3 linked regions of the Diceros bicornis minor genome follow. The protein of the gene in region 3 interacts with the protein of the main gene of each other region in a pairwise test. Links are inferred from orthologs where the notes say so. Each region holds a gene or a part of one and is shown on either strand. Other genes may lie near its edges. The genes, in order: WAS, ARHGAP17 and TRIP10.

What was found.
Region 1: the proteins of TRIP10 (region 3) and WAS interact in a two-hybrid assay, tested with the Homo sapiens proteins (2 studies listed by BioGRID). The link is inferred for Diceros bicornis minor from reciprocal best matches to the Homo sapiens genes TRIP10 and WAS.
Region 2: the proteins of TRIP10 (region 3) and ARHGAP17 interact in binary tests that used the Homo sapiens proteins (3 or more experiments, as listed by UniProt). The link is inferred for Diceros bicornis minor from reciprocal best matches to the Homo sapiens genes TRIP10 and ARHGAP17.

The regions. Positions count from the first base shown.
Region 1 is NC_080781.1:41,993,688-42,001,416, forward strand, and holds the start of WAS (actin nucleation-promoting factor WAS), read left to right. Parts: upstream 1-3,078; 5' UTR 3,079-3,303; coding exon 3,304-3,435; intron 3,436-3,776; coding exon 3,777-3,917; intron 3,918-5,005; coding exon 5,006-5,092; intron 5,093-5,192; coding exon 5,193-5,295; intron 5,296-5,406; coding exon 5,407-5,448; intron 5,449-5,541; coding exon 5,542-5,595; intron 5,596-6,428; coding exon 6,429-6,603; intron 6,604-7,514; coding exon 7,515-7,557; intron 7,558-7,729. UniProt on the Homo sapiens protein: Effector protein for Rho-type GTPases that regulates actin filament reorganization via its interaction with the Arp2/3 complex. Important for efficient actin polymerization. Possible regulator of lymphocyte and platelet function.
Region 2 is NC_080765.1:27,004,669-27,012,397, reverse strand, and holds the start of ARHGAP17 (rho GTPase-activating protein 17), read right to left. Parts: upstream 4,022-7,729; 5' UTR 3,963-4,021; coding exon 3,910-3,962; intron 1-3,909. UniProt on the Homo sapiens protein: Rho GTPase-activating protein involved in the maintenance of tight junction by regulating the activity of CDC42, thereby playing a central role in apical polarity of epithelial cells.
Region 3 is NW_026691615.1:1,650,708-1,658,436, forward strand, and holds the start of TRIP10 (cdc42-interacting protein 4), read right to left. Parts: upstream 5,389-7,729; 5' UTR 5,353-5,388; coding exon 5,329-5,352; intron 4,149-5,328; coding exon 4,033-4,148; intron 3,945-4,032; coding exon 3,888-3,944; intron 3,099-3,887; coding exon 2,951-3,098; intron 2,866-2,950; coding exon 2,803-2,865; intron 2,613-2,802; coding exon 2,508-2,612; intron 2,418-2,507; coding exon 2,289-2,417; intron 1,684-2,288; coding exon 1,537-1,683; intron 1,428-1,536; coding exon 1,233-1,427; intron 1-1,232. Other genes in the region: protein GPR108, read left to right, coding at 7,541-7,660. UniProt on the Homo sapiens protein: Required for translocation of GLUT4 to the plasma membrane in response to insulin signaling. Required to coordinate membrane tubulation with reorganization of the actin cytoskeleton during endocytosis.

The sequences.
Region 1 (7,729 bases), on a different chromosome or scaffold from region 3:
AGGAAGGTAAGGGGAGGAGAAGGATGGTGTGGTGATGGAAATAGGTTGCCATATTGGCCTCAGTTTGGTCTTAGAGGACAGAAGTAGGACCCTACCCATGCCTATGTCCCCTCCGTGGACTCAGTCACGTGGTGGTGACAGGAATGTGGAAGACACCCTCGTGTCTTATTACCTACTCAGGGCTCTAGGCATGGCGACCGAGATTTGTAGGCAATATCCTCTAGAAATAAAGCAAATAAGCACAAGATATAAACAAGAAATGGTTCTCCATCTGGTGACCCCTGGGGAGTTGGCAGGGGGAAGTGATGGAGGAGCATGAGGTGGGTGTAAGTTATTGGGCATATCCTGGTTCTTGGGGGTTCTGTGGATTACTGAGAAGTAAGTCAGAACTTCTGCTCCCAGCCATGATGGACTGATGGCTCTCTTGCTGAGAACAATCAGAAAAGCTGGATTAAGATTTTTGGTCTTGTTTGTAAATCTATTTGAAGGCCCAGGAGAGCAAATTACCTTTGAGGTCATCACCTCACCAAATACTGTCTTCCAGTGCAGAAGAGCAAGAGTTGATGGGAACACATAGAAGTAAAGTAAATGAGCTCCAAATTATTAATGCAGATCAACACAGTGATTCAATAATCTGAATAATGTGAAACATGATATTAAAATGATTAATAAGGGCCGGCTCCGTGGCTTAGTGGTTAAGTGCACACGCTCCGCTACTGGCGGCCCGGGGTTCGGGTCCCAGGCACGCACTGACGCACTGCTTCTCCGGCCATGCTGAGGCCGCGTCCCACATACAGCAACTAGAAGGATGTGCAACTATGACATACAACTATCTACTGGGGCTTTGGGGAAAAAAGAAAAGGGAGGAGGATTGGCAATAGATGTTAGCTCAGAGCTGGTCTTCCTCAGCAAAAAGAGGAGGATTAGCACGGATGTTGGCTCAGGGCTGATCTTCCTCACAAAAAAACAAAAAAAAGATTAATAAATCACTATATTCCGGGGTGAGGAAACTCATTCTATTACAGACTAAAATCACGAAAATCTACTTCAGGTTTTTTATTTAGAGAAAAATAGAAATTTTAAACGTACCTGCTACTTGGAAGTAAGAACAGGAAATATACAACTTTTAAATGTTAATTTAAAAAACAACCAGCCAATGTAGCAGAGTTTTAAGGTCCCTGATGTAGACTTAAAGAGGACAGATCTAGGGGCAGAGGAAGAAGGAATAGGAAGGTGGAGGACAAAAGACATAGAGAGGGAGCAGAAGAATTGTATCTCGGCCCCCATGGGGCACTTAACAGTTTAGGAACGATTTCTCATGGAATTGGCCTCAGCTCTACCACTCACAAACTGTGTGATCTCGGGCAAGTTAGCTAAGCTTCTTTGGGCCTCAGCTTCCCGATCAGTAAAATGGGGATAACAGTAGTGCTTATCTCATTGGGTCGTTTGTGAATGTGAAATGAGTTCATAGATGTAAGGCACTTAGAAAAAGCTCAGAAAACACTGCATCAAATTAGATGTGAATCCCTCATTCATTCCTTCGATAAACATTTATTGAGCATCTAGTTTGTGCCACATACTGGAGATGTGCTTGGCCCACAGCGAGAGCTCAGTGAGCAGTGTTACATGAATGAAGGCAGTGGCCTTTTAAGGAGAAGTAGGGGCTTGCCCTAATGACCAGGCTGGAAGGCGCTCCAGGCCTGGAGGTATGAAATTGCCTGGTGAGTTAGGGCGCCATGAGCTGAGTTGTGAGGGGAGAGAGGAGGGAGGGAGGTTGGAATTGCCACATCAGAAGGGGCTTTGAGCCCAGGCCTAGGAGAGAAGCTTTGAACCTGCGGGTGTAGGAGCCATGCAGGTTTCCAGGCAGGACTGTGGGTCCCACCTTGAGATGTCCTGTTTCTTGTCAGGTACCCAGGAATGTGAGTCACACCCCAGACTGCTCAGTTCCCCTGAACTGCTGTATGTATGCCTGAAAGCTTCACGTCCCCAAACGGGAAACTGAGGCCAGGAAGGAGTGAGGACTGAGCTAGCATTCACTTGGGGAAACAGTCTGGCATTAACTAGTGAAGTTGGAGATGTGCAAACCCCACAACTCCGGATTACCCTCCTGAGAGTATGCATGCCCCTGCGGACCAGGAGATGTGCACAGGAGCCGACAGAGCAGCCAGACACAGCTCAAGTATCTGTTAACAGGAAAATATGAATAAACAAATTGTACAGCCACACAATAGAATACTATGTAGCAGTGACAATGAACAGCTAATGCTACAGGCAAATACGAATCTTAGTAACAGACAGAGAGACGGCATGGAGCATAGTCATGAAAAGCGTGCTCTCTGGCTGGACCCAGCCTGCCTGGTGTGCAATCCAAGCTCTACCACTTGCTAGCTGGGAGCTACTGGGAAAATTATTTAACCGATCTGTGCCTTGGTTCCCTCATTTCCCTCTGTCAAATGGACCCAGCAATAGTGCGCGTGCCATGGGCTGTGACGAGGATTGAAATGTCAGTATTATACAAAGAGGTCAGAACAGTGCCTGCACCACACAGTCAGTGGTACATGAATGTTTGGTAGATAAAAATAGAACGTTGAGTGGGGAAAAAGCAAGTCTCCGAAGATTACATACTTTTAGAAGTTCAAAAGCCATGAAAAGTAAACAAAATGTTATTTAGGCATTCATATATGCTATAAAATTCCTTTCTCAAAAAGGGATGATAAGCAGAAAGTAATTTGGGAGTTGCAGGAGGCAGAGGTAAGGGATGGGAAGTGAGCCGAGAGCTTGCACGTTGTCTGTTGTCTGGGTCTCAGGAGAGGGGTGGGACCCCAGGTACTCGCTATGTCATTAAAGGAAAAGCTTTAACGAAGTAACCTTTCAGCACTAGGGACCCTGAACCTCGGGACAGACTAACTGGATGCTTTGGGGAAGAAGGAGGCCGCCCAGTTCCATGCCTGCTCCCATGTAGAAGTGCTGCAGTGGCCTAGATCTTGCTGTCAGCCAATCAGAGGGAGGAGAGTCTGAGCCAGTCAGAGGGAGATGGGCCTCAGAGAGTAAGAAAGAAGCAGGAGGACGTGAGCGGGTCCAAAAGATGGGTCTAACCAGTCAAATGGAGGAGGGCCCCAGTCTGAGGGAGGAGGGTCTGAGCCTGTCCTAGGGAGGAGGAGACCAGGCCCACCGAGGGGCCCCTGGAGGACTTGTTTCCCTTGTGGCTTTTTTTGCACTTCCTGTTCCCCTGCTCACTGCGGAAGTTCCTCTTCTTACCCTGCACCCAGTGGCTGGCCGGAGAGGACAAGGGCAGGAGGCACCATGAGTGGGGGCCCTGTAGGAGGCAGGCCTGGGGGCCGCGGAGGAGCTGGGGTTCAGCAGAACAAACCCTCCACCCTCCTCCAGGACCATGAGAACCAGCGACTCTTCGAGATGCTCGGACGGAAATGCTGGGTGAGCTGGGGATCTCCTGGCCTTCCCTGTCTCCCTTCCTTTCCTCCTTTTCCTCTCCTCCTCTTCCACCTCCTTATCTTCCCCATCCTCTCCCTCTCTCCTTTCCTCCCCTTCCTCTCTGCTCATCTTCCCCATCCTTCTCCTCTCCATCATCTCTCCTAGAATTCACTTACCCCCGTTCACCAGTCCCAGGAAGATCTCAATGTCTACTCACTTTCCCTCTGGCTGCGGCTCTTCCTTCAGGGCCATGACAGCCACGGGCAAGGAAGAACCAGGTCTGGCTCCCAGACCCTCTCGCTGCCCCTGACCAGACTCCTCTGAGCCCTGCTCTCCTCTCCCAGACACTGGCCACCGCGGTTGTTCAGCTGTACCTGGCGCTGCCCCCTGGAGCCAAGCACTGGACCAAGAAGCATTGTGGGGCTGTGTGCTTCGTGAAAGATAACCCCCAGAAGTCCTACTTCATCCGCCTTTATGGCCTTCAGGTGACCCCTGCTCTCCACTGGACATGCAAACCAGCTTTGAACCCACAAACCCAGATCTCTGTCCATAGCCCTGAACCCTCGGACAGATAAGTGAACTCCTGAGCCCCAGAACCAAAGACTTCATTCAGATGTCAAACTCTGGCTTGCCTTTCTAAGTCTGTGATGACTGACCCCAGAGTCTCCATGTCAAGATCTATAAACCCCCAGATATTAGTATACCTCCTAAATTGAATCTGTTCCACAAACTCCAAAAACATGAGCACTATATTTTTACCTGAACCTCAAATTTGTTCTAAACTCAACATTTTGGTTCCCAGAAATCTTCCATCAAAACTCCTGACCCCTAGATGTTTGCGTAGCTCCTAAGTCATAAATCATAAACCCTAAACCTAAATATGCCATTGTCTTGAACTCCAAATCTGTCCTTTTAAACCCACAGCATGGACCCCAGAATTCCCGTATTAAAACTCCTGAACACTCAAATACTGAAGCAGCTCCTAAGCCAAAAATCTGTTCTACAAACCCCCAACCTGAACTCGCCAGGCCTAACGCCCAAATTCATCCTTGTAAACCCGTAAAGATGGACCCAGCATAACCACATCAAGATCCCAGGGCCATCAAATATTGACCAAACTCCTAAGCTGTAACTCTGCTCCACAAACCTCAATTGTACATAACTTGGCTGAACCCTGCCCCCCCAACACCCAAATCTACATGTCTGAACCCCCAAATCTCAACTCCAACTCCCAATACTGGAGCCCTACCTGCCCAAATGAAGGGAGTCTATGAATGGGCTCAGTTTCCTAGGACTGGAGTCCAAAATCCTCAAATTCAAGCTCCAAAGTCCCACATCTAGGGCCCTGAACCGCAAATACAAATCTCTTACTGCAGTATCTGACTCCCATATTGTACCCCAACCCTCCACATCTGACACCTAGACCCCCAACTCTCTGATGCTGAGATGGAAATCTCCGAATCAGATCCTGGGGCCCTAAATCTGGACACTATGCTCCCTGCCCAGATAACTGAGGCCTGCCACCCAGGGCACACCTCAGTGCCACTGTGTTCCCCACCCTGTACCTCTCCAGGCTGGCCGGCTGCTCTGGGAACAGGAGCTGTACTCACAGCTAGTCTATTCTACTCCCACTCCCTTCTTCCACACCTTTGCTGGAGATGTAAGTGACCACCCAACCCCTGGGCCAGAGTTGGGGTGTGGGGAGGAGATGGGAAAGGTGTGGGGGGCCTGGAAGTCTGCTGACCCCAAGGCGTGTACAGGACTGCCAAGCAGGGCTGAACTTTGCAGACGAGGGCGAGGCCCAGGCCTTCCGGGCTCTGGTGCAGGAGAAGATACAAAAAAGGAATCAGAGGCAAAGTGGAGGTGAGGAGGCCTTGGGGGAGGAAAGGAGGTGGGCAGAGGTGAGTGCAAGAGTGGGGAGCTGGAAAAGCCCTTCTCATGGTTCTGGTTCCCAGTCCACCTGTCTCTCCACAGACAGGCGCCAGCTACCCCCACCACCAGCACCAGCCAATGAAGGTGAGTCCTCTAGTGCAAGTAGGGGTAACAAGAGGCTAGCCCAGGAACCTGTGGCAGGGTTGTGATAGCTCTCTACCCATTCCATCTTCCCAGAGAGGAGAGGAGGGCTCCCACCACTGCCCTCGCACCCAGGTGGAGACCAAGGGGGTGAGTGCTGATTCTTCTCTGTGTCTCTTGGTGGATGGGTGGGTGGGGGGTGGATGGGTGGAGTGGATGGATGGATAGGTGGGGAGTGGGTAGATGGATGAGTAGGTGGGTGGGTGCAGAGATAAGTGAGTGAATGGGTGGGTAGATGAGTGAGTGGGTGGATGAATGGGTAGATAGAAGGGTATGTGGGTGGATGAGCAGGTGCATGGATGTAGCTGTATGGGAGGATGGATGGATGAATGGGTGAATGGATGTGTGGGTGGATGGACTGGTGGTGGATCAGTGGTTGAATGGGAGGATGAATTGACGGGAGGATAAAAATATAGATGGATTGCTGGTGGATAGAGGGTCGAATCAGGGGATGACTTGATGGGAGGATGAAAATATAGATAGATGTATAAGTGGATGTATAGATGTATAAGTGAATGGGTGCGTGGATAAATGGATGGATGATTGAGTAAATTAGTGAATGAGTGAGTGAGTGATTGAATGAATTGAACAATGAATAAATGAATAAGTGACAAAATTTCAGTCAGTGAAAAAGCAGTGATTGAATGAATGATTGAGTGAATGATTGAGTAATTTACTAATTAGTCAATGAGTGAATGAATGAGTCAATACTTAAGTGATAAGCATGAGTAATGAATCAGTGAATATATGAATGGTTTGCAGGACTCACTCACTTCTCAATAAACCTTACTTGGACCCCTCACCCACTTCCTCCATGACCATCAAACACATCAGTTCCCCCAACAGTCTTCTTGTCTCTTGTCCATATGCTTTGGTTGATAGGTAAGTGGGTCAATGGTCCAGTCACTCTATTTTCCCCACAGGCCCACAAGCTGGCCCGCTGGCCCTGGGACTGGTGGCAGTGGACATCCAGAACCCAGACATCACGAGTTCACGATACCGTGGGCTCCCGGCACCTGGGCCTGGCCCAGCTGATAAGAAACGCTCAGGAAAGAAGAAGATCAGCAAGGCTGATATTGGTGCACCCAGTGGATTCAAGTGAGAACCTCTCCCTAGTGAGCCCACAGATCCCTGGGAGTGGGGAATAGATGAACATGTGGACAGGAGGAGAGCTGAGTGGAAGGATGGGCAGATGGATGGGTGGGTAGGTGCAGGGCTGGGACTAGGGGAGAGGCAAGTGAGGCACCAAGGTCGCAAACTTTATGGAGGTGGTCTCTCTCAGGCTCATTCAACTGTAATTCACAACTCCAAGAGTGAGTGCCTCCTTAAATTTTGCACCCTAGGCACCTCACTTGCCTCACCCTAGTCCCACCCTGAGTGGGCTGGTGGGTGAGTGGATGGGTGGGTAGAAGGATAGATGGATGAATGAATGAATGGGTGGTTGGAGAATGAATGGATAGGTGGTTGGATGGATGCATAGATGGGTAAATGGGAAGTGGGTGGGTAGATGGATGGGTGAGTGGATGAGTGTGTGGACAGATGGATATATAGATTGGTTCAGGTGGCCAGATATGTGGGTGAATGGACAGTTCAATGGATAAATGGTCGGAAGTGTACGGTTGAGTGGGTAGACAAATGAGTAGATGGATGGAAAGGTGGGCACATGAGTAGATGGGTGGGTGGCTGCACAAGTGTGTATGAGGATAGATTGGTGGACAAATGGGTAAACAGATGTGTGCAGGCAGATGAGTAGAGAGACAAACGTATGATAGATCACTGGTGGATGGACGGTAGATAAAGAGATGGGTGGATAGATGGGTACCAAAAACCATGGGCCCCTTCGAATGCCATAACTCCTGCTCTCACTCATTCGCTAATTTATTCACTTATGATTCATTCATTAATGGCCCCTCAGTGTCCCTCTGGGCAGGGAGGGCAAGAGCGCTTCACTAGGAAGGGAGGGAAGGAAGGACAGTGGGGCTTCACTGGAGTCTCCTCACCTCCCCCAGACATGTCAGCCACGTGGGGTGGGACCCCCAGAATGGATTTGACGTGAGTAATGGCAAAGTCCCCTGGACCCTACTCAACTCCCACTCACCCTTCCATAGTCCCCTGCTCAGACCTACCCCCAGACCCCACCCTTCCCACACCCCTCTCAGATCCCTCTCTGGGATGGACCCAATGATGATGTGTGCCCCTTCCCTCCCCACCTTATTCCCCCACC
Region 2 (7,729 bases), on a different chromosome or scaffold from region 3:
AAATTGGTATGAAATGCCATTGAATTTTCATTAAAATCCAGATTTCAGGCTTTTCTCCAAAACTCCAAGTGTCAGCCACACTGGGCCCATATTCGCACATGCCCATTGCGTGAGACAAGCGCCCTCCAGGTCCCCCACAGCCCTCACCTGCTCTAAGTCACTCATTTATATTACCAGCCTGGCCCTCTAGGCACTCGAGTTTGTAACTGGTCTTATCTAAAGACAACCATCCCCCCCAGGGAGTACTTCACTCAGGGCAGAAACCAACCCCCATTGAGACACTCCCTTCTAGAGCCTCACCTGGATAATAAGCTCTCCAGTTAGTCCCTCAGAGTCCTTTCCTCCTGACACTTCTACCTTGTAACTAAACGTTTCTCAAGATGCTCACCCTGCCATATACCTTCCTCCACTGAGGAGCTCACCTCCCCAGAATTACCACCTGCGTTCACTGGATTATCTGCATCAAGGGTTTTCAAGGAAAAAAAGCATCTTTCTTTTCAGCAGGACTAGAAAAGACATGACATGATGTTTATTGTTTCCTGACCAGCACTCCTTCTCTCCTTCTGCTGGTAACAGCACCTCTGCTTCCCTTGGGGAGCCAGCGCTCCCCCACTCTCAGTCCCTGTGGTTTGGGAGGGGCTGACTCCATTCCCATTTCCAGAGAGAGGCATGTGACCCGGTCAGAAGCATTCAGTCAATCCTGGGACTTTGGCCACAGTGACTGGGGGAAAAGTATAATCTGTCCCTCGGGGACTTGAACTGAGGACAATGGAAGACTGGGGTCTTCTTGTAGACATAGGCTGTCTAAAAAGTGGAACCCCTGGATCCAACTCGGTCTGCAGCCATACTACTTCTGGACCCTTTGGTCACATTAGGAACCAATTAATTCCCATCTTTGCTTAAGGCAGTTTAAACTTGTTTTTCTTACAACCAAGAGATCTAGTCACTACAAGAGAAACTTGAAAGAAGTGCTCAAAGATGGAAAAAAAACCAAAAGGTTCTCCTCAGATTTTCTCCTGTGTTTTTGGTACCTCCCTCCATCTAATAAGAGCTGGGTTTTCTCTGTGTATTAGCCATCCCTCTAGAAGCACTTATCTCAGGGTATATAATTATTGTTTGGATTGCTTATCTCTTCCACAGATCTATTGAGCTCCTTCAGGACAGAAACTCTGTTCTATTCACTTTTGAGTCTTTAATACCTTGCACAATGGAACACAAGTGGAGCTTACTGAGGGTCTGTTGAATGGATGAATCAACAACCGCAGAAGAACAAAAGGAATCATCCTAATTCTCTACCTTGGGACACCCATATCTTAAGACCAGCTCATCAGCCTTGCCCCTGTGATATACACACCATCTTCTGAAACAGACTCATCCACCCATTGTCAACAAATGGCATCATGAAAACTCACTCCTCCCAGCCATTACTAATTCTCCCACAAGTCTGTCCCATGGAACCTCACTGTGGGGTTACTCACAAGGTCCTCATTCTGGGAAAAGAACACTTCATTGCAAGACACCACATAGAACTCTGTGAATTGATAGCACACACACGGCCATGCCATTCACACACGTAACTTCAATCATTAATGGGGGGAATAAGGGCGGACCTTCTTTGCTTTCCAGTCTTCATTTTGACCCAAATACACCCAGTATCCTGATTCAGATGCCCACAAACCATCTGATTCCACACAATAACAATTCTAGGCTCTCTCCTGCCTCCACTTTCCCTCTCTAGTCCTTTACAATCACTCAAGTGGAAAAAATACAAATATAACTAGGAAATCAACAGCAATAAAGCACAAATTCCCCAATAAAAACAGTTTTGACTTTGGGTGCATAATTGCCACACCCTTAATAGCTCTGTAATAGCAGCAGCTTCCACTAGCATCGAGCAATAAAGATTTTCAAACGGAGTCAAAGGGCAGGGCCAGAATGAATCACCATTTACTCTATCCAGTTCTCGTTTTCCCATACTTGGGCCCGCATCACCAAGGCAATCTAGTAATAAGTAGATTTACAATAGATTAAAATATCTGTTGAGCATCTACCATGTGATAGGAACCTCAGAGGACCCTGGCAACCAAAGGAGAAAGACAGAGCAAGGACTCTCAAGGCGTTTAGTGGAATGGAGAACACTGACAAGTGAAGAGGCGATGACCTTAGAGAAAGACAGGCGCTCCGTGTAATCCTGAAAGCGCCCAGGAGGGCCATCAAGTCTATGTTGGAGCATCAGGGAAGGCTTTTTAGAGGCAGAGACCTTTACTGGAGACTGAAGAATGAGTAGGAGGTGGCTATGGGGCAGGTGTAGTGAAAGAGGCTTCCGGAAAGTTCCAAGTAGAGGCTAAGAGCTAAGAGAGCATGGCCTTCTCTGAAAACTAAAACGAGGCAGGTAAGGCTGGAATTTAAAAGTGTGAAGAGGAAGCTTAAAAAGCTACAGAGGAAGCAGGGGCCAAAGAGACTCGGAATGGCTTTGCAGCTTTAAAAGCCTCAGAACTTGTAATGAAAAACGAAAAAGAGCAAACAGCCCTTGCCTGATACAATGTACAAAACGGCCAAAATGACAATCTGACAAATTTCTCTTGACACTCACTAAATATTGATTCCACAATGCATGTTACTGAGACACTGAGAGGGTGGAAGACTCATAAGGAATTATCTTATAATTGGCTCCCCGAGTCTTGGCTGAAACATTAGTCTCTCGACTACTCTGCCTACCTTCCTCTCAGTATTATTTCTATCATTTTCCTACAAATATCTGAAAACTGCGCACATCTAGCTTTAGGGGACAGGGATTAACTCTGGAAACAGGATAAATGCACACCAAGATAACAGAGTGGGAGACCAGAAAATTAAACAACAAAACTAAGCAAAAAGTTGAGGGAAACGAAACACTACATAGCAAATTTAGAAAACCCAAGAGGAAGTAAAAGTATTTTCATATTCACAAAAAAAGAAGTGTCCCCACGTGCTTTTGCCAAACCAAACTCCCCCTTTTACTTAAGTGTTGAAAAAAGAAGCAAAAGCTGTGGGAAATTCATACTTTCATCTCTCTTCACAGAATGAAGAGTAAACGGGTACAGCACAGCTGAGTGCCCTGGGAGAACTTGGAAATATTGACCCAGGTAATACCGCACGTGACAATCACCCGGAGAAGCTCTCAAAACCACAGATCATTCCTGGCCCCACAGCCTGACCCGCTACAAACTCTGGTCTATTCTGTCATTTCACATCAATGCCGGTCAAGCACTACAACAGGACCAAAGAAACATGGAGAAGTGTCTGCTTCCAAATCCAAAGGGAGAAAGGCTTTTTTTAAAACAATTTTTTCTTTAATTGGTGCACGGCATCTCCACATTCCTCTTTTCCCAAATCCTAATTTCTCAGCGTCAAGAACTTGCACACCTAGTTCATCTTCGCCCTAGTGTGGAGACAGCACCACCTCTAACTTCCCTCAAAGGGCGTCTGAAACCCCCTGAGCCAATCCCACTGGCTGGAAGACCCTTCACTGGTTCCTCCATCTGCACCTGGACCTGAAGGGTCTGCACAGCGGCCCGGAGAGGCTGAGAATCGCCCCCCAGCCCGGGGCGGCCCAGCCTCAGGCGCCCAGTGACGGGAGTGGTGGCCCCAGGCAGCGAGCCCGGGCAGCAGGTCTCGGGGAGGACAGGGGAAGGGGCAGGTCCCTGCTCTCCGGGGCGGGGACACGGGCAGTGGGGACCCCGAGCGGGGTACGGAGGGAGGCGGCTCGTCCGGCCACTTTCTGGGAGCCAGGCCGCGGCGTGGTGCAGCCCCGGGGCCCCGGGCCGCCTGGCCTCCTGGCCTCCGGCGGGGCCGCGGCCGGGCCCTGAGCCGCCCGCCGCGGAGGAGGCGGCCCGCCCCCCGACCCCGGCGCCCGGCCCGGGCACTCGCCTGCCCACGGTCTGGTTGGCCAGCTGCTTCATGCGGTTGAACTGCTTCTTCATGGCGGCGGCGGAGGCGGCCCGCGGGGCTCGGGGCGGCGGACGAGACGGCCCGGCGGCTCCTCCACCGCTTCCCGGCCCAGGCGGCGGCGGCGGCTCCCCAGGCCGGCGGCCCCGCCCTCCCGCGTCACTTCCAGCGCCGCCCGTCGGGCCGCCGGGGCAGGAGCGCAGGGCAGGCCCAGGGCGCGGCGTGCAGCCAGGCCTCGGCCGTGGGCCCGCGTCGGTCCCCGAGGAGGACGACCCGCCGGGCTGAGCGGGCTCGGGCCTCCGGTCCCCTAGGACCTCGATGTCTTTTCCTCATCAATGCTTCCTCCACGGATGTGAAACTCACTTCCCTGACTAGATTCAAACACGAGTTGACGAAAGCAGACACACGGCGTGTCCACGCTGTGACACCCCGTATCACAAGAGCCCCCAAACTAATCCAGGGGACCCCTCTCCCTGCAGGGCTGCTCGGGGAGGAGGCGAGGCTGTGGGGAGAGGACCCGGGAACTGTCTGGATGATGGAAATGGTCAGTGTCTTCATCAGGGTCGTGCTTATGCGCGGGTGTAGACATTTGTCAAAACACACTGGTTGAACTCTTCAGATGGGTGCCTGTCACTATGTTAATTTTACTGCAGACTTTTAAAAAAAATTGTTGCGTGAAAATCACCAGCTGTAGGACAATACGGACCGTGTGCTACACTTGGTGACATCAGAGCAATGGGTCCTCTCTTCACAGCGCGGACACGCGCACGGGGGAGGCCGTGTGGGGACGGCCGCCTCCAGAGCGGCTGTCATGGCGGCCGGCGCGAGGTGGCAGGAGGGGCGCTGGCACCGGGGACGTCACTGGGGCAGCGGGAGAAGGGGCCCGACCCCGCGGTGGGAAGTCATCGGGATGAGCGGAGGCCCCGGGTGACAGGGTGGGTGGGGAGGGTGACTGGCGACCCATTGGTGAGGTCCAGGGCCAGGCCCCGGGCTCCAGGCAGCCCCTCCCCCACCCCGGCGGTTGGCGCCCCCACCCCACCCCCACCCCGGAACCCCGTTGCCTAGGAACCCTCGGCGTGTTTGGACTCTTCGCCTCGCGCAGGCGCCGGTGCCCCACACTTGGCGGGACTGGCCGACTGGGCTGGACGCTTTGCGCCGAGCGGACCAGGTCAGCTCTGCGACCCGCGGTGATGGCCTCCTGGTTTGGTGGCCTAGGCTCTGGCTTAGGCCATTCCCTGGGGCAAGTGGGCGGCAGTGTGGTTTCCCTCACTGGACACATCTCTAACTTCACCAAAGATGTGCTGAGGAAGGGAAGGGAGAAGGCGGAAGAGTCACCGGACTCTGGGAGGACGAAGATGGAGGACGTTCAGGTAATTGTAGCATCAGAGGAGAGACTGAGAACCCAAGCTTTGAGAAAAGCTGAAAGTTTACAGCAGACCGTGGAGGAAAAAGACACAAAGCTTGCCTCCATGAGAGAAGAAAACAGTCATCTGAAAGAAGCCCTGGAACGACTGAGAGAACAGACTGGAACTGCACCTGTGGTTGACCCTAAAACCCTGGACAGGGTGACACGACTAGAATCTGAGGTCTCTCAACTGAATTTGATAAAAGGTCATCTGGAGGAGGAAGTAAAACATCATCAAAAGATATTTGAAGAACATGACCAGAGGAAGACAGAACTCCTTCAATCTTTACAAGAACAGAAACAGGAAATGGATGAACTTAGATACCAGTATGAGCAAATGCATATAAAACACACTCAGCTCTTTTCAGCCAAAGATGAGGAAATTAAGAATTTGCAAAAGACAATAGAACAAATCAAAACCCAGTTCCCTGAAAAAAACAGCACATGCAGACAAAACATTCTGAGATTTTTCTGATACCGAAAGTTCAGAGTTTTAATATGGAAAACGGAAGTGAAAAGCATGATTTATATAAAGCTGAAACTGAAAGATTAGGAAAAGGAAGAAAAGAACAGGAATGGGAGATGAAACTTCGAACTGAAAAGACTGTCCCTTTGAAGGAGCAGATTGATCAGCCATACAAAGATGGATTGGTCAACTAACTCGGATTATCCAGCAAAAAGAGTTGGAGATACAGGGTCTTGACGCTAGAATAGCTTCAGCTCCCTACATCCAGGCTGTTGGGGACCTTCAGCAGCAATTGCAAGCCTATGCTTTGGAAAGGGAACAAATATTAGCTGTTTTCAATGAGAAGGTGAGGGAAAACAGCAACCTGAAAAGAGAGTATCACAAAATGGTGGACATACTGGTTGCCAAAGAAGCGACCTCGTGAAGCTGCAAGATGAAAATACAGAATGGTCCACAATATTTGAAAGTAGTGGTCAAGGGGCAGCCTTGTGGCTTAGCGGTTATGTGCACACGCTCCACTATTGGCAGCCGGTTCTGATCCGGGCAGGCACCTACGCACTGCTTGTCCGGCCGTGGTGAGGCGGCGTCCCACATATAGCAATCAGAAGGATGTGCAACTATGAGGTACGACTATCTACTGGGGCTTTGGGGGAAAAAAAGGAGGGGTATTAACAATAGATGTTAGCTCAGGGCTGGTCTTCCTCACAAAAAAAAAAAAAAGAAAGTAGTGATCAGGATATGTCTAGAGAAACGATTCCAAACTTATCACATCATTTGAGCAAAAGACGTGGAAATCGCTGCCTTGAGTCAGAAATGTCAGACTTTATGGACAATCTTGCAGACATCTGGCACTGGCAGTGAGGTTGGAGGGGTTACTGTGAATCAGTTGGAGGAGCTTCTGCAGGAACGTGACACGTTACAGCAGCAGGTCTCCATAATGGAGGACTGGACACAGCAAGTGATGACCGCGGTGCACAACACGCAGCGAGAGTCAGCCCAGCTCCAGAAAGAACTTCCACAGCTTCAGGCTCGGGTCTTGATGGACAGTGAAAATAAGTCTCAACTACAGATTACCTCTACTGACCTGATCCAAAATTATAAAGAGGATGAAATCTAAGTCACACATTTGGCAAAGAAATTAGCACGAATGCAGCTCAGCCTAGGGCAGCTGTGCAATGCCAAGGACGTTCTTTTAGGTCCACTTGATGTTATTGCACCACAGCCTCCCACCACATCATCGCTCACTTCAGAGTCAGCCAACTCTCTGAAGGCAGCTAGATCTGGTGCAGTGAGTGAGTCTTCTAAAGCACTCCCAGAAGAGATAGAAGAGTTAAGGAGATCCACGGAGTGAAAAGAGGCAACCATTAGAAGCCTCCAGGAGGGAGAATCAGAGACTCTCTGCGGAGATTCCTGCCACCTCCGAACTAGACAGAAAACAACACGAACAAACAGAATCCGAAATCCAGCAGCTCAAGGAGAAACAAGATGTTTTACAAAACTTATCAGGAAAAAGAGCTCTTAATCAATGCAAAAAGTGAGGAATTACTTTCTTTGAGTGAAAACTACACAACTGAAGTGAATGAAAATGAACTTTTGAGGCAGGCAGTAACAAATCTGAAGGAGAGAATATTACATTTTGAGGTGGATATGCGTAAACTAAAACAGGAAAATGACAAAATTCTAGAAATGTCTGGGGAAAAGGAAACAGAAAACCAAGCATTACAAGAGACAAATATGCGGCTTTCTATGATGCTGAGAGAGAAAGAATTCGAAAGAAAAAGGCTCTTGCTTTGGAGTGACTCCTGAAAGAAAAAGAGCTAGGCTGGGGAATTAAACCAGCTTTTAAATGCAGTTACATCCATGCAGGAAAAGACAGTTCTGTTTCAGCAGGAGAGAGGTGAAGTTGTCTTGGCACTGAAACAGAAACAAAT
Region 3 (7,729 bases):
GCTGGGCGGGCTGGGGCTGCCCCCTCCTCCTCCCCCGCTGGCCTCACTTACCCCACGGCTGCCTCGAAGGCTGCGGAAGGATGCTAGCCGCGGTTTGACCGACTTACTGATCTCACTCAGTATGGCCAAGGGGTCGAGGCCGGAGCGGGGGGACGGGGGTCCGTTAGGCATTGCCGAGGGCAGGGGGCCCCCCAGGGGGGAGAGGGGTGGGGGACGCGGCTACCGACGGGGGCCGGGGAGGGGATGGATCAGGAGGAGTGGGAGGATGGAGAGAATAAGGATGGACGGACGGATGGACGGACGCAATAAAGAAAAAAGGAAAAAACAAAATGGAGAAAAGAAAAAAAACGGTAAGAAAACCACAACTCAAGATCCACATCACACACAGAAAATGCATGCAGAGAGCAACACAAAAATCTGGGAGGTGGCAGGGAGGGCATTAGACTGTGAGCCAGAAGGCCAGATCCCTCCCTCACCCCCATATGTCCCAGGTCCCCTGCATCCTACGTCCAGTACCTAGAATGGGACCTGGGGGTGCAGGGAGGCCCATGTTTGTGTCCCCCCAGCTTTCTGGGCTCACAGTCCAGAAGGTGGAGGGAGATGCATGCAGGAATCAAGGTCTCAGACAGGTATGGGGCCACAGAGGTCAAGCGCAAGCTGAGAAAGGGGTCAAAGGCATGAAATATCAGATGGGTTACAGGTGGGGCTTAAGCCGGGGCGTGCACGTAGAAATTAAAGAGTATCAAAGAATATATCAAGAGGGACCAGGGGTATAAAACAGAGTAAAAGGCATAAACGTCGGGGAGTGTCGAAGGTGTAAACCAGGGGTGTCCAGGTATGTGCTTGACATTGAAAGCCAAAAATCCCCAGAAAAAACAGCCTGAGGGTCAGGGACCCAGGGACCCATCGGCAGGACGGAGAGACACTCGGGGTGTCCCGAGGGCCAGCATCCCGCGCCCTCGCCCAGCCCTGAATCCCACAAGCAGGTCTGCTCCCAGCATCCTGAGAAACAGCAGAGAGACGCCACGGGTCCCCCTCCCACCCCCCCCTCCGCCTCGGGGGACTCCCAGGCCAATCGCCCGGCGGCCTTCCTTCCCTCCAGCCCGGGCTGGCAGCCAAGAGGAAAATTCCTGCCCGGGACTCAGCGTTCCGGCAGCTACGGCTGACTCAGTGGGGGCCCCCGCTGTCCCTGCTCACACCCACACCCCCACCCCAAGGGCCCCGGCCCCCACCTTGTTCTTCTTGCTGAAGGGCCAGCGTTTGGCACGGCTGCGGCCCGGGCCTCGGAGCTCAGGCCGTCCATCGGAGGGGGTACCCAGGCTGCTGTCTGAGGGCGCGCGGTTCATGGGCTGGCTGAAGTCTTCGAATTCCACGTCGCCAGGGCGGGCAAAGCCTGACTTGTGCAGTTCGATGAGGACCTGGGAGTCCTGCGGGGAGGGGACGGCGGGGGGACAGTGAGGGGTAAGACAGGTGTCTAGCCCTCGGGATCCTCCTTCTGCCCACCCCGTGGTCACTGGCCCGCGACCAGGCACCCACATGCTTGGCATCCACGGCATCCGCAGCCACCTTCATGCCCTCTAAACACTTGGCGATGATGGGTACCACCTGGAGCTCAGCCTCTGACAGGAGCCCGTACCCAGCCCCCAGGTGGGTGGCCCGGCGCTCATCCATGTCTTGCAACTTCTGTGGGGACAGGGACAGAAGTGCTAACGGAGGGGGCGGTAGCAGAATGAGTCACTCCGCAAACATGATGGAGATCCACACTGGCCCCAGCCCCAAGCCCAGTCTGGTGGGGAAAACACAGAATCGAGCACAGAGACTTCCAGCCCAGTGAGGTCAGGGGAGAGACACAGGGCTGGGGAGATTTCAGAGGGGACTTGGAGGACCGCCCTCTTGCCTAGGGAGTTGGGAAATGCTTCTCAAAGGAGGTGACAACGGAGCCAGGGCTTTGAAGAAAAAGCAAACCCAGCATAGTTACTGCCAGTCCCAGGGTTGGAGCAGAGAGTGGAATACGCGGCTGAAACAGAAGAGGGGAAATTCAAGACCCTTCAGAGCGGTTGTTGGTGCTGGGGCTTTGAAGAATGAATAGGAGTTTCAAAAGGAAAGAAAGATATCCCTGGCAGAAAAAAACAGCTTGAGTAAAGGCAGAGCTCACTGTTCCTATTTGTTTCTAATTCCCTTTCAATTTAGAGACTGGAACATTGCAGCTGGGGTTTTGACAAATGGGTAGGAGTTGGTGAATTTGGGGGTTTTTTGGGAAGGTGGGGCTGGGGGCTTGGAGCACTCACATCAAATATCTGGGGCATCTGGGAAAAATAGAAGTGGGCCTGGTCTCGATTGAAGCGCTGTAGTTGGGCCGCGTACTCATTTTTGCTTTCTTCTGCCATGTGACTCCGAAGGTGGGCTTGTTGCTTGGCCTGAGGAATATCGGGGAGGGGGTTCCTGCCAGGTTCTGGCCCCGTCTCACCCTGACTGACCCCCAAGCCTGTCCCAGACCCCACAAGCACCTTCTCCACATCAGCCTTGGTGGCGTTGATATCCTGGTCTAGCCGCTCAGCCGTCTGAGCCGCCTTTTCCGCCTCCCGGCAGTCTCGCTCAAATTTACGCTTACTCTGTATTGGGGACAGAACCACAATGAAGGAGCCCCCGTCCCCGAGGTAGGGAGGTGGGAAACCACGGTTTCAGGGAATGGAGGAAGTCACCTAGCAAATGTGGGACAAAGGGCACACTGGAAACCCACAGACAAAGGAGGAAGGTCCGTGGATCAGGGGCCAGAACCACCCTCCATGCCCACAAACTCACATTCTCCAGCTGTTTGAAGCCACTTTCCAGCTGCTGTTGGGCCCGACGGCCTTCCTGGAAGTGCTATGGTAAGAGAAGCCATAAGCTCACCTGGGTTGCAGCAGGAACCCTCCAGAAGTCCCAGGGGTGGGGGGCGGGAATCACTCACCATCTTTCTCTCCTGTTTCATCTCCTGCGAGTACTTAGCCAGCTCGAGACACACGCGGACGCTGAGGTTCTCAGCCACCAGCTCCCGCTGGCCCGCAAAGTCGTTTACCTCCTGTAGAATTTGCACGAAGGACTGATGCTGGCTGAACCTGGGGACAGGTGGGACGGACACTCATTCAGAAGCAAAGATAAATTCGGGTCCACATCCCTGACCCCCAACCCCAGAGTGATGCATTTCGGAACTCAGAATTTTTCAGGTTTTAGCAAGGGAATACGATGCTTATACCACTTTTATGCATGACCCCAGTGGTTGGGCGGCATCCTGCAATCAAACACCATAAATATTTTTGCAGTGAGAGGTATTAATATTCACACTAAGTGGGATAAAAACGACGACCGTAATGAACGTAATTACCATCAAGTCAGTTCAGGTCAGAGGTTGCCTCCAATCAAGTTGCTGGAAAAACTTTTGATGTCTAGAGCTTTCTGGATTCTGGAACCCAGGATGCAGAATAAAGTGAAATGTTCCTACGCACTTACTACAGACTGGGCACTGTTTTAACCCATTATCTCGGTTAATCTTCCCTTGAGCCCTACAAGGTCATCGTCATCATCCCCATTTCACAGATGAGGAAAACAGAGGCACAAACTCACTTGCCTAGAGTCTATCATTTAGTAACTGCTGGAGTCTCCCTCATGTATTAGGCGGGGGAAAACAGAAGCTTGAGTCAATGGCCCAAAGCAGTTAGGGTAGAAAGTAGTGGATTTAGGATTCCAATCCAGGTAGCCAGACCCTGCAACCATGCTCTTATCTCTAGGTAGGAATTGAGGTGAAAGGCGAGGGACTTGCTTGGGAGGCTCAGCCGAGGAGGAGGAACTAGAGCCCACACCCCCTTCCCACCCCAAAATCTAGCCCTGCATCCCCTCTCCATCCTTACTTGGACTCAGGGTCATCTTTGGCAGGTCTCTTGGGCAAATATTTTTTCACCAGGTTCCTAAGGGGAGAGAGAGACAGGAAGGCTGAGCCCCCAGCCCTCCAACGGCTCCCCCAAGCCCCAGGGCGCTCCCACCCTAGGGTCTCACCGAAGCTGTTTGGCATAAGCCTGTTCCACCTCTGTCCGCTCTTTCACGAACTTCACGTATCTGTCCAACAGGTCCAGCCCCCACTGGGTGTGCCGTTCGAGCACCTCAAACTGATCCTGGCCGGAAGGAGGACGAGGAAGGGCCGGGGTCAAGACCTTGGGACCCCATGGCCTGCGGACCAGGCGCCCCGGCTGCCTCGAGGCTCCAGCTCCGAGAAGGAGTGACTTCCCGGCCCCGCCCCGGCGCAGCGCGGGGGGAGACAGGAAACCGGCGGGAACCCCCTCCCCTTCCCGGGAAGAGCCAGGGAACAGGGGCGGGGCCCCAGCCGGACGACAGGGTCCCCGTCTCCGGACAGCCAAGCGGGGTGTGGAATGGGGCAGGGCCACTCCCCCTGCCCCAGCTCTTCTAATTCCCCCCAGATTCCGGAAAATCCGGCCGGCCCGGCGTGAGTCAGGGCCAGAGGGGCAGGGTTCCCTGCGGCTTGGGGGCCCCAGAATGGCCAGGCAGCAGGCACCAGGTCCCCCAGGTCGCCATGCTTCGCCGGGTCCCCCGATGGGTGACTCAGTTTCCCCTACTGACTCCACTGCACCTCCAAAAGAAATTCCAGTGTTGAGGGAGGGAGGATCTGGCTACCTCGCTACACCCAGGAACCCAGGGATGCCACCGCCTCCAGAAAGAGGAGGGGACAGAGGTCCCGGCTAGGATAGGGGGAAATTCCTGGGGCTTCCTGAGCTGAGGTTAGAGGCGGCCTGGGGGCGGCCCCTCCCTGGCCTGGGGCGGGCAGGGGGAGGGGGCTGAGGCCGAGCCTTGCAGCCCCCTCCTCCCCCAGAGGGTCCCAAGCCCCTAGGTGTTGATTAGAGGCGACAGAAAGGGCGGTCAGGACTTCTAGGTCCCACGTGGGGTTGCAAGTGGCCAGAGGGTCCCCTCCCCCCCACCAGCCAGACAGGCGGGCGGCGGGCAGGGACCCAGGGGCCGTAAGATAAGCCGCTGGCCCAGCCAGGACGCTCAAAATAGGTGACCTCGCCCGGCCGCCCCGGCCTGGTCCCAGGACTTCTTCTGGGCCCTCCTCACTCTGCACCCCGTGCCTCAGTTTCCCTACGCCGCTCCTGCAAGGTCGCCCTTTGCCCCCGGGCGTCCTGAAACGCCCTGGGACACTCCGAGAGAGGGCGGAGAGCGGAGACTCCAAGGATCGGTGGAAGCGAAGGCGCGGAGCCCCCGCTAAGCTACTACAGGGGCAAAGTTGGGGGGTCTGGACCTCAGGAAGGGGGAGCTCGGAGCCGGACCGATAGGACTCACCCACAGCTCGGTGCCCCAGTCCATGCTGCTCCCGCCGAGGCCGCAGCCGCGCCCGGTCCCCGCCGCCCGCCGCCACCCGCCGGGAGACTCAGCCCAGGGCGGTGCTCCGGCCCCGCCCCGACCCCGCCCACTCCCCGCTAGGCCACGCCCCCAAAGGCTCAGCCACGCCTCCACCCCGCAGAACCCAGCACAGCGCCCTAAAGGTGGGGCCCCCGAGGAGGCGGGGCCCGGCGGACGCTCCGCCCCCTTTTAAAGGAACGTGGCCACTGGACCGACCCCTTAAAGGACCCCCACCCATTTTCGAAATCCCCCGGGCACCTCTTATCCTCCCCACCCCTGCCCCGCCCCGAACTGTTCCTCCTTCCCTCTTTCCAGTCAACCATTCCTTAAAGGGCCAAGACACTAAAACTCCAACCCAAGAAGTCTTTCCCCCACCCCGTCGCAGAGAGAACCTGAGGTCACCCGGCTCTTGCGGGCCGGCCCGGCTCCAGAGCTCTACACTCGTCTCACTAATGGTCTGGTCCCTCCGGCCACAGGGCGGATGGGAGGACTTCGATCCTGTCCAGGACGCGCCTCTGCCAAGGCCGGGTCCATTAGCGCCCCCACCGCATCCTGCCTCTCCCCCCCCCCACCCCCCCGAAAATCGCCGGGAAACTGAGGACGGGCCGTCCTTGGAGCGCCCGGCCCAGGCCTTTCCCCAGCTCCCATCCAGTTCACGCTTGCACCTGCCCAGTTTCCAGTCGCATCCATTAAGGCCCAATCAGGTTTAATTGTCTGCACAGACTCTGGGATTCTAACTCCGTCTCCGCACCTCCCCCCAGATACTCGAGCCCTGGGGCTTGGAAGTCTGTCGCCTCCCTCATAAAAGTCTGTTCACACTTTGTTAATCCCTTTGAGGCACTGGGATGAAAGGGCAGAGGTCCCAGCAGCTCCCACCCTCACTTTCTCCTGCCTTTGGTACTTTGTGGCTACAGAGGTGACAGACGCCCTGCTGGGGCTGGGGCCCCCAGGTCCCCGGGGAGGAGTAGGCTCTGAGCCCCCAGGCTCCCAGTACACAGACTGGTGAACCTAGGAGGATAGCTCCCTGGAGCTCACACTGGGACAGATGGCTCTGCGGGGACCTGGCCCCCCCTGCTGGTGGCTTCTGAGCTAGGAAACCTCAAGGTGCAAAGTGGGCTGTGCTCCAGAGGCTGGGGATCAGATGGAGTCAGGGACTCAGCTTGGGATTAGGGTCTCAACCCTGGTCTCCAACTCAAACCGAATTTCGGATTCATCCCAGATCGCCACCACAGCTGGGATGGGGTCTCAGAATGGGGTCGCAGGCTTAGCAGCGGGTTCAGCAATCCAGTTGGGGGTCTGGGACTCAAACTAGGGCCTAAGGGTCAGGGCTCAGTCCAAGTAGGGGGCTCAACCAGAGACTGAGGCTCAGTGTAGGTCGAAGGTCAGAAAGAGGTGGGGGAGTCTGGGTTTCAGGCTGAGGTCTGGGCGGAGTTGCAGAGAGGTTGTTCAGCCCAGCCCGGGGTCAGGGTTCAGCCCATAATCAAGCCCAGCCTGGGATCTGCAGGTGGGCCTCCAGTTGCCTCACTCTGGGATAGGAGGTTCCGCCTACGGCTGGGGACTCAGCCTGAGGTCATAGGTCATCCTATGGTCAAGAGTTAGCCTGGGGCCAGGTTTAGGCCTCTCGGTGGATCAGGAAGATTAGGAGAACAGGACAGGCCGCAGCAGATGCGTGTGTTTACCAAAAGCCTCAGTTCTGGCTGGGAGCCACATCCCAGGGATAAGACGGGGGATGTCGGTCCTTGGGGATACTGGGAAGTGAAGTTTATTGACTGCCCTGTTGCGCTGCATTCTGGGTAATGTAGTCTCGGATCGGTCTGTCAGTTAAGCGTGGATTGAGGAATTCCGCTTCAAGGGCCGGATATCGGATCCATCACAATTGGTTAGATGGACTGTTCATCAAATTACATCCGGAACAATATTCCTAGTGATTGGTGAAAGGGGAGGCGGGGTTAAGCGGTATCGGCACTCCTATTCGGAGCTGGTGTTGTCCATTTGGCGTTGTGCGGGGGCGGGTTTGCGAGGAGACGATCGCTGATTGGCTGGACGGGCTGACAAAGCCGAAGGGTCGGGCCCCACCGTGCAGCGATTGGCTCACGGGTAGGCGGGCTTAGGGGAGTCAGAGGCGGTGTTAGGGGAGGCGGTGGCTCCAGAAATGGCAGTGAGCGAGAGGAGGGGGCTCGCCCGCTGGAGCCCCGCTGAGTGGGGGCAGCGGCTCCTTCTGCTGCTGCTATGTGGCGGCTGCTCTGGGCGCATCCACCGGCTGGTGCTGACGGTGAGTCCCGCTGCGCTGCAGTCCGGGGTGGGGGACGCAGCTTTGTCCCGGAGAAGCCTCTGGCTTGGA